Diceros bicornis minor: one gene and its partner. The protein of the gene in region 1 purifies or fractionates together with the protein of each later gene. This does not show direct contact. Links are inferred from orthologs where the notes say so. Each region holds a gene or a part of one and is shown in the gene's direction. Other genes may lie near its edges.

The links.
Region 2: the proteins of FGF11 (region 1) and AHCYL1 purify together in Homo sapiens (affinity purification with mass spectrometry; 3 studies listed by BioGRID and IntAct, with this or other methods). This does not show direct contact. The link is inferred for Diceros bicornis minor from reciprocal best matches to the Homo sapiens genes FGF11 and AHCYL1.

Annotation. Positions count from the first base shown.
Region 1 is NC_080757.1:10,882,427-10,889,838, reverse strand, and holds the start of FGF11 (fibroblast growth factor 11), read left to right. Parts: upstream 1-4,331; 5' UTR 4,332-4,451; coding exon 4,452-4,644; intron 4,645-6,278; coding exon 6,279-6,389; intron 6,390-6,583; coding exon 6,584-6,687; intron 6,688-7,160; coding exon 7,161-7,359; intron 7,360-7,412. Other genes in the region: TMEM102 (transmembrane protein 102), read left to right, coding at 695-908, 1,010-2,325.
Region 2 is NC_080743.1:43,022,817-43,030,650, forward strand, and holds the start of AHCYL1 (S-adenosylhomocysteine hydrolase-like protein 1), read left to right. Parts: upstream 1-4,698; 5' UTR 4,699-4,749; coding exon 4,750-4,869; intron 4,870-7,834. UniProt on the Homo sapiens protein: Multifaceted cellular regulator which coordinates several essential cellular functions including regulation of epithelial HCO3(-) and fluid secretion, mRNA processing and DNA replication.

The DNA of each region.
Region 1 (7,412 bases):
AGGCACAGAACAGTTTATCTCCACAGAAACTACAACTTCCATCAGGCACTAGTTCAGCGGAACAAGAAGGGACATGGGGGCGTGGCCCCAACGCCTTGGTAGCACCGAAGACAAACTATAACTCCTAGGATAGCGCGAGATCTCCGCAGAGAGGGAGAGTCTGAACTCTGACTGGAGGCGGGGCCGGCCCGGAACCACCCTGACAGCCTCCAGAAAAGGGCGTGGCCCTATTTAGGGGCGTGGCCTTATGGGCAGCAGGAAGAAGTTACCTGTTGAATCATTTTATGCATTCTCTTCCCAACCCTTGTAGCTACCCCGAAAAGGGAAGCCGCAGACCATAGGCTCTTCCGAAAAAGAGGTAAGGGGAGGTAAACAAGGGGCGGCGGAGGAGACTGGCTATCGCATTCCGTAGGAGGAGTCCAACAGCTAATTTTTACCTGCTGAGTCAGGTGAACTGGTCCATGGGGGCGGGGACTAGCATATGAGAAAAGGGCAAGGACGGAGGAGGTATTTGTTCGTTTTCAAGACTAAATTCAGAGCCCTTCATCTGCAGACCCATTGGCGGACTGTCTCTGGGGCACTCTCTCGGCCTCGGGAAGAGAAAAGAACCGGGGCGACTTTTCAGCAGCAAAGGAAAGGCCCGTCTAGGCTTTCTCCCCTCCGTGTTTTCCCTAGCCCAAATTGATAGAGCCACATGGCTTCCACGGTCTGGGGGAGTGCACCCTGGTGGGGCCCGCCGCCCCCAGCCCCAGCCCGGCCGCTCATGGACATCGACTTCTGCTCCGGAGCGCAGCTGCAGGAACTAACCCAGTTGATCCAGGAGCTAGGTGTACAGGAGAGTTGGAGTGACGGGCCCAAGCCGGGACCAGACCTCCTCCGGGCCAAGGACTTTGTCTTCTCTTTGCTCGGTAAGTAACCCTCTCTGCCTTCGGGAACTCACAGATCTCAGCCCCGCCCCACCCAGCCCCGGCTTTGGGTCACGCCCTCACAATCCCTTCTCTTCCCTTAGGTCTTGTTCACCGCAGAGACCCCCGCTTTCCTCCCCAGGCAGAGCTCTTGTTGCTTCGTGGCGGGATTCGCGAGGGCTCCCTGGATCTGGGGCCTGCACCCCTAGGTCCCTACGCCCGGGGACCTCACTACGACGCCGGCTTCACACTCCTGGTGCCGGTGTTTTCTCTAGACAGCACTGGGCAGGAGCTACAAATGGACAGGGAATCCTGTTACGCATGGCTCTGTCTCCCAGAGCAGTTACGCGGAACCTCGGTCCGGGAGGCATGGCAGGATTGCCTAGGACCCCCAGTCCCAGGAGGACTTGATTCGATCCACAGAACCGAAAGTGAAGGAAGTCCCAAGGACTGGCAAAGCTCAGTGGACCAGCCGCATGGTTACATCAGTGAGCATGAGCCGCAGGTGTCTTTGGAAAAACCACCTAGTAACATTTCGGGGCCCGAGTCGCCTGGGCAAGACGTAACCGATCTTGGCTTTCCCGCACCATTGAAAAAACTGAATGGTGACGTCACCAAAGCAGCCGACGTTAGCCCAGTCCCACAGCCGTCGGAGGCTTGGGAGACATGGCCCACATTGTGCCCCGCACAGGTGGCTGCGTGGTTCTTTGCTTCTTTGGCCGCGGTCGCTGAGTCTCTGTTCCCGGTCCCTGGTGCCCCGCGCTTGGTCCACGCAGCCCGCCACGAGGGGTTCACCACCGTCCTCCTGGCTACGCCGGGCCCCCCGCGCCACCTCCTGCTCTTCGACCTGATCCCCGTGGTGTCCGTGACCGGCTGGCCCGAAGGGGCTCGGAGCCACTCGTGGGCCGGCCCGCTGGCTTCCGAGTCGTCCTTCTACCTGGTGCCCGGCAGCAGCACAGAGCGGCCGGGCGCTTCGGGCTGGCAGCTCTGCTTCGCCCGCCAGGAGCTGGCGCTCAAGGCGCGCATACCCGCTCCGTTGCTGCAAGCGCACGGGGCGGCCCAGGCCCTGCTGCGCCCGCTGGTGGCCGGGACCCGGGCCGCGGCGCCCTACCTCCTGCGGACGTTGCTTTACTGGGCGTGCGAGCGGCTGCCGGCGCTCTATCTGGCGCGGCCCGAGAATGCGGGCGCCTGCTGCCTCGGGCTGCTGGATGAGCTGGGCCGTGTGCTCGAGGCCAGGATGCTGCCCCACTATTTTCTGAGCGGCCGAAAGCTGCGTGCGGGGGACAGCGCCGCTGCGCTGCTCGGAGCGTTGGCCCGGCTCCGCGGGGACCCTACCGGGGCCCTGCGAGCAGCGGTGGAGGAGGCCAAGGCTGCGCGCAAGGGGGGCGGCTTAGCTGGCGTGGGAGGCGGGGCCCATTAAAGACGCTGCTCCTACCAGCGTGGAAAGTGCTTGTTGTTGGCCAGCGGGATGTGGAGGGTGACTGCTCGCCCCTCGCCTGGGAGACAGATCTAGTGCCCTGCCCAAAGGTCCCTTTCTAGAAGGCCTCCTCGCCGGTTCCTCCCCATCCTCCCACCCTCCTCCCGCCCCATTCTTGGCATAGGTCCTTCCATTCCGGCCTCTCTACTTTCCAAATCTGTGGCCAGCAACCCTCTCACTCCGGTGCAGCCTCCGGTAACCATCTCCCCCCAATTCTTATGGCCTTTTCTCTTAGGAGTCAATAGGATGGGGGAATGTTTTTTGCTGACAAAACGTGGAAGGGAGAGAGGTATGGAGACCAGGGACTGACCAATTTGGCTCACACAAAAGCAGAGATATTAATGAGGCCGGATTTCACCCCAGGCTAGATCTCACCACTACCCCCATCTCTTCAGTTATTGCCCCCACTTTCCTCATCCAGTTGTGAACTCCCATCCTGGGCAGTAGAGTCTCTTCCCTTTCTCCATTCTTGGGGCGTCCGCCATTCCGTCTGCCTTAAGCCCAACCTCTCCCCCCATCCAGGGTTCCATTCAGTGGAGTCGCCTCCTTGTCCCTCCTCCTCTGAACCCCGAGACATGCGGCCTTGCCTCCACTCTGCCTGCCTCTAAGACCGTCCCCACTCCCTGCCTCCAAGGAACCCTGGGGTTCCGCCCGCCCAGCTTCACCCCACTCTTTCCCAGCGTCTCCGCCCCCTGCCCCGCCCCCGGGCCGGCTCTCCGAGGAGGGGGAGCTGCTGTCGCCGCCGCCGCCTCAGCTCCCCAACAGCCGCTGCCGCTGCCGCGCTCCCGCCGCTCGGCTTGGTCCAGCGGCCAGGCCCAGTGCTCTGACTTCGCTGTACCAGGGCGCTCTGCGGAGACACCCTCACTCCTTCCTGGGGTCCTGGGCGCCTAGCCGGGCTTGGGGGGAAGCTCCGCTTGCAGAGGACGGGGGGGGGGGGAGCCTGGAACCGGAGCCAGCGCCACCTGTCGCCGGATCAACAAGACAGGACAGGTTGAGGGGCGTCGGGGAAGGAAGAGGGGGTGCTGTAGGCAGTCCCGGGGAGGAGACGAAGCTCTGTCGCAGGAAGCTCTGATGCGCTCTGACTTGTAGGGGGCCTGTTCACATTTGGGGATTGGTGACAACGTGGGTGCACTCCTCGCTGAGGGGGCTGAATGGATTAGAGGGCGTGGGATCTAAACAGCACCAGCTGTCCCCGAGGAAATTAAGGGACAGCCAGGAAAAAAAAAAAAAGAAGCAGAAAAACCGGATGCTCCTTATTTCCAGGTAAGGGAGGGACCTCCAGACAACAACCTGGTGTATCCATTAGGAAGGGAGGCTTTGGATGTGGCTTCAAAAGGAGAGGAGGATAACAAGGTGAGGAAAGGGGCTCAACCGCGGGAACCCAGTGCCACTAGAAATGGGAGTGACTTGGTGAAAAAAAAGGTATTGTCCAGAGACAGGGTCTAGGAACCCCTTCTCACTGACCACGGACAGCTTGGATATTCCCAGACATAGTTTTTGGGGATTTCAGTGAAAAAAGTGGGGGATCCTCTCCACTTAGAGGATGGCAAAGACACCAAGGTTGGATTCCTCCCTGACATTGGCAGCACGCTAGTAGGGATGGGGTGGGGTGAGCTAATATATCCCCAAAGCTAAGGACCCACACCTTTTAGATTACAAGAGTAGATTTGGCAGGAGTGCAGGGCCCCAAAATAGGGTGGAAAAGTGCCTGGGGATATTGGAACTACATCTTGGAAATTTTGAGGGTCTTGGCTTTGGGATAGCGGAAGTGGGAACAGGGACGCTGGAGAGCAGGGAAAGGGAGAGTTTTCAGTAGGGGGCGAAAGTCGAGGGTGGGGTCTACTGAGAGGTACATAGGCTGCTGGGTCCGGAGCTAAGACGGGGCCCAAGGGTGGGAGCTGGTGTAAAGGGGTGGGGGGGAAGGGTCTAGGGCTTATCCTCAGGTCCTGTTGGTGGGGCGCAGAATCGGGACTGTAGTGTCGAGCATGCCCTGGTGAGCGGGCTTCTCTGGAGGAGCCCAGCGCGCTTCGGGCGCTTGCTGGTTTGGGGGTGTCTCTTCCTGGGGCGCCATGGCGGCGCTGGCCAGTAGCCTGATCCGGCAGAAGCGGGAGGTCCGCGAGCCCGGGGGCAGCCGGCCTGTGTCGGCGCAGCGACGCGTGTGTCCCCGCGGCACCAAGTCCCTTTGCCAGAAGCAGCTCCTCATCTTGCTGTCCAAGGTGCAACTGTGCGGGGGGCTGCCCGCGCGGCCAGATCGCGGCCCGGGTGAGTGGCTGGGGCGGGGTCTCCGGGCCTTGGGTCTCTCTGCCTGGGAGGTTGAGGCCAGAGACTCTGAAGAATGCGGCCCGACTGAGGGCGCTCCCCGAAAGTGAAAGGGGGTGGGCCAGGACAACAAAGTCTCTGCCAGACTATGCCTCAGTTTCCCTTCTCTTTTGTCCATAACCTCGAGTCTCCTTGCTTTCGAGGGCAAGGGGAAAGCTTGAGGGGCTAAGTCGGGGGCCCCTAAGCCTCACAGCTCCTGCTCGCCGCCCCCAACACAGGAATCCCCACCCCCACCGTTCTCCGCCTACGTGCCGGCTCTCGCGATTCTTGCAATCCCGAGCGGAGGGGCTGGGGGTTCCGGACGCCTGGGTCACCTCGAGGGTTTCTGCAGCTCCGGCAGCCCCGCCCCCGCCCCGGTTCTCCCGCTCCTCCCCGCCTCGGCTGGACTCCTTCTGGCCGAGCTTGCCTGGCTCGGCGCCAATCCCCGCTCCTCTCCCCCGGCTGTCCTTGCAGCTACCTCACCAGTCCCCCTCTCTGTGCGCCATCCTCCCGTGACCTGCGCTTCAAGAAGGGAACTGGGCACCCCCCCGTTACCCCCTACGCGACTCCAAAATCGGGTCCCACATACTCAGGGGACCCTCTGCCGCCAGGAACTCAGACACAGTACATGGCTGGAGACCTGCACGGAGACTGGGGGTTGTACCACCTACGAGGAGGTACAGGGAAGTCGGCCTAGAGCAAGCGACGGGGAAGGAGAGCTATGAGGGTTAGCGTGTAGTCCCCGTCCAGTTACGACAGGCAGGGAGTCCCTCTGGCCTCGGTCCCGCCCGCTCCCAGCTCTCCTGGGGGTGGCCCCTTCGCGGTCTCCTCTCCCCGCCGCCGGCCCTCCACAGTGGTACGGTCCGCAGCCCACCCTTTGAGTGGGACCGGGCCCCACGTGACTCAGCCTGCCTCGCCAGCTCCCCAGCCCCCTCCCCCATTTCCTTGATTTGGTACCGAATGTCCCCCACCCCAGGCGGGTTACCTGGCTGAGCCTCAGGGAGGGCTGGGCCCCCCGGGAGCCAGCAGACTGACAGACAGACAGACAGACAGATGGGTCAGTGTCAGACAGGCCGGCGCTGGGCCAAGGCAAGGCCCGCGCCAAGCAAGCGGCAGCCGCAGCAGCAGGTGCTGAGTCAGCGTCAGGCCCAGTCCCACCCCCACTCCTGAGGGGGCGCCCCTACCTTGTGGTCACTTTGCTGCCCCCCACATTCGCAAACACACTGCCCCTTCAGCAGCCCTGCCTGTCTCCCACTGTCCTCTGCCTTTTGATGTATCTCTCCCCTTCCTCTTCCCTCTTCTCCCCTCCCCCTGCTTCTGGTTGAGCTGTAGAGTAGGAATTAAGCAATTTCAATAAATTTCAATAAATTAAACTGAAAGCTGGTGGTTAGAGGAAGCAGAAGGGACCCACACCCCAGCTTTCTCAGGAGTCAAAGAGAGGTGGGAGAGAGCTTGCTTGGAGGATCCAAGAGCTGGGGCCCTGGGACCCTCTTCCTTCCCTCCATTCTCCTTTGTTTGTTTCTTCTGATCCCGCCAAGTGTAGAAATGTTTCTGGGAACAGAGATGTCATTTTCAAAGACGAATGTCTCTCTCTCCAGAGCCTCAGCTCAAAGGCATCGTCACCAAACTGTTCTGCCGCCAGGGTTTCTACCTCCAGGCGAATCCTGACGGGAGCATCCAGGGCACCCCCGAGGACACCAGCTCTTTCAGTGAGAGGGGAAGCCAGTGGCTGGGTGGGAAGGGGGAGATGGGGCTAGGAGATGACAATCCTATTCCCTTTCAGGTTCTGTTGTTTTCAGTCTGGCTCTTTGATCCCCCAAGGGCAGAAGTGGAGCTGGGATGGGGGGAGCTTAGATGGGGGTTCGAGGCCTGGGGTACTGATGCCCGCTCTCTCCACCCCCAGCGCACTTCAACCTGATCCCAGTGGGGCTCCGTGTGGTCACCATCCAGAGTGCCAAGCTGGGTCACTACATGGCCATGAATGCTGAGGGGCTGCTCTACAGCTCGGTGAGACAGTGAGGCTGAGTGGCCTGGGGTTTGGGGACTCGCCCACATCAGAGCACCTCCTCTAGGGTCCATCCAATCCCTACTCCTTGCACAGCCCCCCAGATACCCCCAGGCTCTTTGAATGTCCAACTCTCTCAGCCTTTTAGGGCCGCCATTTCTTGTCCTACCTCCTCTCGACTTCATTATTACTCACTTCCCTGAAGTCATTCACGATAGGGGACTGTGAGAGGTTGGGAGTAGAGTAGAGAGAAGGTATCTTCTTATTCCAGGGCTCCCAAAAGTCTAGTTCCTGACCCTCAGGGGCCTTCCTCATCCTCTTTTTCTCCCAGTTTCTGCGTGGGCTCAGAAGTTGGCCCTCCCAGCCCGAAATGTGTGGATTATATCCTGGCTTGTTCTTCCCAGGGCTGCCTTCTGTCCAGTGATGTGTCTTTTTGTCTCTGTCTGTGTGCCTTTCTGGGTCTTTGTCCCCTCAGCCACATTTCACAGCTGAGTGTCGCTTTAAGGAGTGCGTCTTTGAGAATTACTATGTCCTGTACGCCTCTGCTCTCTATCGCCAGTGCCGTTCTGGCCGGGCCTGGTACCTGGGCCTGGACAAGAAAGGTCGAGTCATGAAGGGAAATCGAGTCAAGAAGACCAAGGCAGCTGCCCACTTTGTGCCCAAGCTCCTGGAGGGTGAGTATGACTCAAGAAAAGGTGGGCCACATGGGAGGGTATTGACCTTGACA
Region 2 (7,834 bases), on another chromosome or scaffold:
CACTCTGACTCCTACCCCGACACACTCTGTTTATACTGCATTAAGTTGGAAACAACTCATGCCCAACAATAGGAAAATGGGTAAGCAAACTCCTATGGCAATAGGATGGAACCCTTGGGAAACAGTGACAAGGACAAGTACGTAAACAATGTCCACATGTGGTACACGTGCTTTCAAAACACTATGATTTGATCAAACTGGAACACAAAATGACATATACCTACTGATCACAGGTATGTAAAAGTGAGTTTCTGCAAATTGATAAGAACCTGAAGTGAACTTAAAGAGATTTTTATCTTCACGGGTTTTTCTTTCCTATAAAGATTATGTTCAAAACAATAATAAACAGTAAAATGCATAATAAATAGGATCATAATAAGCACAGGAGGAGGCAGAGAAGGAGGAGGAGTCTTTCTAGGCCCTGGGGGACGGCCTATCTTCTCAAAAGGGCTGGAATTGAATACAGGGGAGGGAAGGAGGCTGGAAGTGGGGGAATGAAGGAGCTCAGTGGGAAGCAGGAGCCAGGCATGCCTGGGGAGCCAGCACCAGAGGCGCAGAGGTGCAGCTGGGAGCCTTCCCCTTGGGGAGTCCCTCAGGGACAGCAGGGCAGACCAGCAATCTGGACTCGTGCTCCAAGGGCACATTTCACATCAATTACAATGTCAATGGTGCCTTCCAGAGTTGTGCAACATGGCGGTTCTGGGACAGAAAGATAATGGGAGGGGGTCTGCTGGACACAGAGCCACTGAGCTGTTCACCTGTTTCCATACTTCTATTGTCACCCAAGATCTCCTGCAATTTTTCTGCACCATTCATTTCGGAGGACTAAAGTGGGGCCTGGCCTACAGGAGAGCACAGCCTTGCTGCAGGGTGCTGGGGGTACCAGACTGGCAGGGAGCAGATGGTGTGAAAGGCTCCAACTTAGGCTCCCCTGGACATAGGGCAGCACACTCCACAGACATATCAACCTCAACATGTCTTAAGCTGACTCCTTATCTCAGCAGCCCCTCCACCCAGACCTGCCTCTCCTCCCGTGTTCCCCATCTCGGTACATGTCACCACCATCCAGCCACATCTGGCTCCAGCTTCAGCTCTCACTCTGCTCTACTTTGTACCCTGTGTCCCACTCACACTGAAATGTTTACAGTTCCCATAACATGCCAAGTTCTCTCATTGCCCTGCCAGGCTATGCCTTCAGCCTGGAATCCCTTCCTTACCTCGTCCAGCTGCTTAACTGTCAAGAGTCAGGTAGAGCAGCATCTTCCTCTATGAAGCCTTTCCTGCTCATCCCCATCCACCATCCCACCCACCTTACCCTCCACCATCTGTCCCCACGTAGACATCAGTACTTCATTCCTCTCTGTTGTCCCAACATCCAACACTGCTCCTTCTTCAGCATTCAATGTATATTTTATGAATAAAAAAAAAAATGACTGAATTTGGAGGGTAAATTTTAGGGTGGATTTGATTAATAAGATCAAGCCCATGTGTGGTACCCTTTCTAGAGCAGGGTCCCCTCTGGTCTCTAAGCCCTTCGGAGACTTCCCCTGACCACACACAATAGGTGCACCTGTCCTTGGGTCCCCGCTCTTCTCAAACACTGGCCCCTGGTGGCTTCTCTCATCTGTGTGTGGATTGTGCTGTTCAGGGGAGTGAGCCCCGACTCATCCACCTGACTAAGCTCAGAGGCACTGCGTCTGGTAGGTGGGTGGGTGGGCTGAAGACAGGTCATTTCTTGGCATCCATGAGAGGCAACACCTTAGCTGGTCCATGTGCAGCCATCTAGGAGTGGTGGGGGCAGCGTGCAATGGTTCTCACTGATGTTATGTCATCACACTTTCTGGCTGAGTGAGCTCTTTGATCTCCAGTCACACACAATGGGAGCAAGGGCAGCCACTCATGTCCTCTGCAGCAAGCTGGTTTCCAGGAATGCCCTTGGCTGTGGCCTGACATGAACCACGTAGGCCTGCTGCCTTTCCACCAGGGCAGGGAGCGCTGCCCCTCCATCCTTCCAGTCTAAGCACCCCGACTCCCCTAGGTCAGCCTCCCCAAACCCACCTTGGGCCAGGCACTCACGTAAGTGGAGTCACACCTTCTGGTCTCCTTCTTGGCTCAAACTGTGAAGGTACTGCTTCCTCTAGGCCTGGCCCTGTCTTCACCACCCCCAACAGCAACAGCCAATCCTGTGAACGTGGTGATAGGGAAAACCTGTTACTTTGGTTCAGGAGTAAAAGAGAGGCTGAACTTCAGTCTCCAGGAATCTCATAATCTGAATACTAACATGCACAGCATGTCCTGAGAGACAAAGCTCTCAGACAATGGAAGTTTTAAAAATCAAATCCAAAAGACAAACACACCCTGCTTCCTTATTTTTAAATAGGCTATCCTAAGTCACATGTTTTCCTATTCAAGGAATGTGGAGTTTTCACCTCTGTTCCAACTCGTTCTGCCTCTGTTCTCTGAGCAGGCAGCTCTGATCCCTGGACTCTGACAATAGTTCAGGCAAACCCATAGGATGAAAGCTACCTCAGGCCATATGTCCAAAGAGTCCTGGGTGGGCAGGTATAGCTCTGGGCCCCGGCTGGGAGATGAGGAGAAAGGTGCCAGTCTGGCACCCTTACAGATGAATCCAGCATTCTGGTTCCCCATCTCTCTGTCCCTTATGCTACAGGAATACCCCTGAGAGGGAAGTTGAGGGGCTTGAAAGAGTGGGCAGATGAGAGAATCCTGACAGTTAAAGACCAGGATCTGCAGAAGTGTGCATCCTACCAGGCACTTCCACAGCCTGCATCAAACAGATGGCCTCATGGGGCTGGAACATGGGCTTCTCTGTCTAAGACTTCTGGAGCCCCACAGGCAAGTATTTCACATACTTCCCAACTTTGAACATAAACCAGTGGGGAAAATATCACTTCAAACTACAACTTCTTTCTTGAAAGAGTTGACCCTGTCAGAGACCTGGTAGGTTTCTGGATATGAAAAGGTGGCCTGGGGAGAAATTTAGGAAAAGGGCAGTGGGAAGACTTGAATAGTCAGCACCGTAGAGAAAAATCTGGCTTCCCAGAGTTACTCAAGGAGGGGAGGATGAGGTGGAGGGATGGGAAGGGAATAAGAAGAGGAAGCTAGATTAGATGGCAATGGGCTAGGGATCTTTGTGGGGTGGTGCGGCCAGTGAGAAATCCTGGGTGACAAGATAGCCAAAATAACTTTTCAGAACATTTTAGAAATATGACTTTAAATTGTTTGCTGTGTGATGTAATCTCTCCCCTGTGGCCCACAAACCTTCATTAAAAGTTCTGCTACATGTTACGGCATTATTTTTGTGGTTGTTTTGGAATAGGGGTGGGGGTTAAAAGGAGAAGGGGCTATGTTCCATATTTGAATTGACAGCAGGAACTAAAGAAACAGCTACAAAACCAGAATAGCGAACAAAACTTCAGATGAGGCAGAAAATTAGAGCCAGAGGTAACCATGAAAATCTAAGTCCCCCCAGTAATTCACAGAAATCCTGGGGAGGGCATTGGACTTTCCACAGGAAATGGGAGTTGGAGCCAACGTCGTTCGAATCTCAAAGGACAAGCTACCTCAGCTGACATTAGGTTGCAAATACGGTTTGAGTCTTCGGGTGGACAAAGCCTTGCAAAACATAAAACGTATCACACTCATCTTTACTATCCAGGGTCTAGCACAAGAACAGTACGTAGTACGGCCCAGTAACAGCATGTACATGGTCCATGAACGCCCTGGTTGCCGCACTGGGAGCTGGCAGAGTCTCGTGCTTAAGGGGCGGGGTGCATGGAGCAGGAAAGCCATTCAGGCTCCTCCACCCCCGCCCCTCATGCTCTCCACCCTCTGACCCATTATCCCTATGCTCATGGCCGACAACATCAGCTCTGCGGCCTGAAGGTCTTGTAAACAGGCAAGGCCCAGCGGAGACGGTGGTGAAGGAGGTCACAAAGGGTCGCGCAGAAACCACACAGCTTGGAATCTGTTCTGCCCACCCTTAAGTCAAAGAGGCAAACACTGCCCCTTGGGAAGGGGCTTCTGGTCCAAAGGGCCTGGGGTGGGGGCAGTGAGTGGGCTGTCTTGGGCCCCGAATGTCACCTAGGACTGGCTGTAGGATGTGTCGTGTGGGACTCTGGTCTTTGCTCCCAAGCATCCCCCTCACGCTCTTCCGAGATCTTGCCCGAAAGCCCGCAGTCCCAAACGCCCCCCCCCCGAATTACGCGGCACCCTTGCATGAACCACGCGCCTCTCACAGGGCTGATGGCGCCACCTGGCGGCGCAAAGGGTCAGGCTCACGCTGGGAGCTTCAGCACCAGCGAGCTGGGAGGAAGAAGGGGTGGCTTCGGCGGCCCAGTCCAGCGTGGTGACGTCATGACAGAGCGCCGTTTCTCCCCGCCTCTTCCTCTTCCCCGGAGCTGCCAGTACTTGACGTGGCGTCACCTTCCTCTACCCTTACTTTGCGTGCGTGTTTGCGTGCGGCGGAGGTGGTGGCGCGGACCGGTCAGAGCTCCGCGCTGCTGCTTCTGGTGCTCTCGTCGCCGCCGTTGCTGTTTGGCTGTCTTGGACTGCGGTGCGAACGCGGCACGGGTCACAACTCCTCAGCCCCGGACGCAGCTCGGCGCGGGGCCCGGCGGGAGGGTGGGCGAGCGCGTGTCGGAGGGAGCCGCGCGGGCGGGCGAGCGGGCGCCCGAGAGGGAAAGAGGCGGGGGCGGCGGGTCAGCCGCGGGCCCGGCCGGCCGGGGGATGTCGATGCCTGACGCGATGCCGCTGCCCGGGGTCGGGGAGGAGCTGAAGCAGGCCAAGGAGATCGAGGACGCCGAGAAGTACTCCTTCATGGCCACCGTCACCAAGGCGCCCAAGAAGGTGCGGGGGCTCTGAGTGGCGGCGGAGGCGCAGGCTGGGGCCTCGCGGAAGGGGCGCGAGCGAGCCCGGGGCTCCAGCTAGTTCGGGACTTCGGGGCAAGGTTCGAGGTGCCCCGGGACGGCCGAGGTGGTGTGAGGGGCGGGTGAGCGGCCCCAGACCTATCCCGAGCTGTAAAGGCCGCCCCTGACCTCACTTTCCTTTGTCCCTCGGCCCTCGGGATCTTTTCGAAACCCGGCAGGGCTGGGCCTTAAATTTGCGGCTGACTTTTCCTGGATGAAAGGTCTCCAAGACGGGAGTGGGAGGGGGTGAACCAATTCAGTGGATCTCTGTGACCAGCCCCATGGGATGGAGGTGTTCAGAAAATCTCCCCTCGGGCGAGTGTGTAAATCGGGTAGAGCTGCTTCGGGCAAATCTTTGGAAGCGGTGGCCGGTTTATCCAACAACTGCGTGCTAGCTTGGAGCAGGAGGGAAAAAATGCGTGGAGCTGGGTCTTTTATGCAGGTGAAAGCAATGAGGACAACATGCGATTCAAAAGAAAACTGATTTTCACCTTTTACGGTCGTCCAGTTGCTTCGACATATGTGAGAAATTAACCTTTGGAGGTTGGTGACAGCAGACATTGTCATGGATACAGGTTGATCGTAGTCATGTGCATAGATCACTTAGGCATCCCCTGAGAAAGGAGCTTGGGTGGGTTGGAGGGGTGGGTGGTAAGGAACGATTGCTCATTCTTTACTGCACTTACTGAGGCAGAACAAGTTTAGTCTGTTGTGCTGGGGGTTGAGCTCAAAGGACGCCCTTCTAATTCTCTTGTGGAAAAATAAATGGCAGCCTTTGGAGGTTTTAGTCTAACTAGTTCTCAGAGTGGTGGAATTGGGATTTGTAGTGCTTTCTGAGCATTTGTTGCCAACCACATCTTGACTTGTGACATACCTGGCATCCAGTTAACAATAGACCAGAGAACCTTTGCAGAGACGTGACCTTTCTGAAACCAGTGAGAACCTGGATAAATATTTCCCTCCTATATAAAGACAGAGTGTTTCAAGGCTGTCTCTCTCTGCCTGCAGTGTTTGATGGGAGGCAGTGCTTCTATAAGCTGAACAAAGCAGGGTTTGCAGGAGTAGTTACAGTCTTGGAGGCTCCTGCACCTGAGCTCGTTATGCTGTCATAAGTGGGAGAGATGACTTTTTTTTTTTGAAAATTAATCTACTACTCCAGAAATCAAGTGCAGAATTGAAAAGACAGGTCACCATCGTGTGCTTTAGCTCTGTTTTGCCACAAAATTAAGCTCTTACCAATAGAATGCCTAAAAAAAGGTTATAGAAGATCCCTTGGTTCTAAGAAGTCTGATTAACCTTATTTTTAGTGCTATCAGTTCAGCTGACTGCTTTGTTGGGGCAGTAACCCTTTGTAACCTGCATTATTTGGAGATACAGTCTCAGCCTTTATAAGCAGAAGGCTTAAGGGTAGTACCTGTGATGAGTTAGGGGGAAGAATGGGAAAGCCCTGGTACCCTAATCCCCTGAACTCATCCTCTCCCCATTAGCCTGTCCTCTTTTGTCTAGTTGCTTCAAGAATTAGGTGTTTTTATTCTTACTTGCCTCTATTTTAGTAAGGCTTTATTCTTGGAAGTGCCACTATTAGTAAGACAAAGTTTGTATTGTAGATTGTAAACTCAGTAAAGGCAGGGACTCGTGTTCACCATTGTATCCACTCTGCCTAACTCTGTACCTGGCATACAGTAGGTAGTCAAATATTAATTGCCCACCTGGCTAACTAGTAATTTGTCTGTATGACTGCCTACCAGGAATAAGTATCCCTTTTCCTCTTTTCTTCCCAGGAGGAATATTGCTAATGTGTACGATTGTCAGGCCAAGTGGGAATGATTTTAGAGACTCATATCCCATTAGCTGAAAGAAGCAGTTTTTGCCAGGAATGTGGGAAGACCCTGTTGTAAGTTTCCATTTGCTGGTAAATGTACCGCCGGGTTTCTTATTAATCTGCTCCTTCTGAGCTTTATTGTTTAGCATTTACGCAGCACTTTGTATTAAACTGCTTTATGATGACTAATTACCCTTTCCCTGGTGATGATAAAAGGCATTTATTTAGTTAATGAGTTGGTTGAGGACTAGTCAAGGTCACGTAGCAATTCCTAGGTGATCTGTTTTTTCAGAACTTCAGCTGAATTGGACATTGTGTTTCAAGTCACTTTTGTACCTCTGCCATGTACTGATACTGTGAGAAAGCATGAAAAAAGTAAGAGGAAAAATGTAGCTTGGCCTGTACTGAATGGTGTGAGAAAAAGGCCTCTTTAAATGGTGCCGTCCTTCACCTGTGAGGATTCCAGTGTGGTTCTAGACCAAGTAATCCTTGGATCATTCCAAGCCCTAATGCCCTTCAGGGAATGAGGACATTTCTGGTGCCAGTCAGGGTGACTTGGATAGTCCTTAGATCAGATTCCATTGTAACTGGTGAAATTTTATTCACTATGTTTGGGGAAGCGTGATGTCCATCAATTAGAAGCAGAGATGTTGGGAATCTTCAACTATAACCATAACTTATTCAGTTTTGTATACCCCAGGGTCTACCACAGTGCTATGTAGGTAATAGGATTTGTTGGTTTGATTCAAGGCTTGATCTGGTTGTCAAGAAGCCATCTAAATGGGTACCACCTTAAGCAAGTGAGCTTCTATGCCTCAGTTTCCTCATCTGCCAAGTAAGTGCTTTTTGTTTGGAATAGGCGCCTGGCATATTGGGAGCTAAGATAGCAAAAGTGGTTTTTAAAAAGAAGTCTATTAGTATACTTAAACTCTCTCTTTTTAATGAGCATTTGAGATGGCTTATAACACAGGACACATACAATGTGGATAGGAAGTCAAAACTGTAGAAAGAAGGAAAAAAGTATTGTTAACTCTGAGGGCTAAGATAATTGATGAGGCTGGTCATCATATGCAACTCTAAGCTT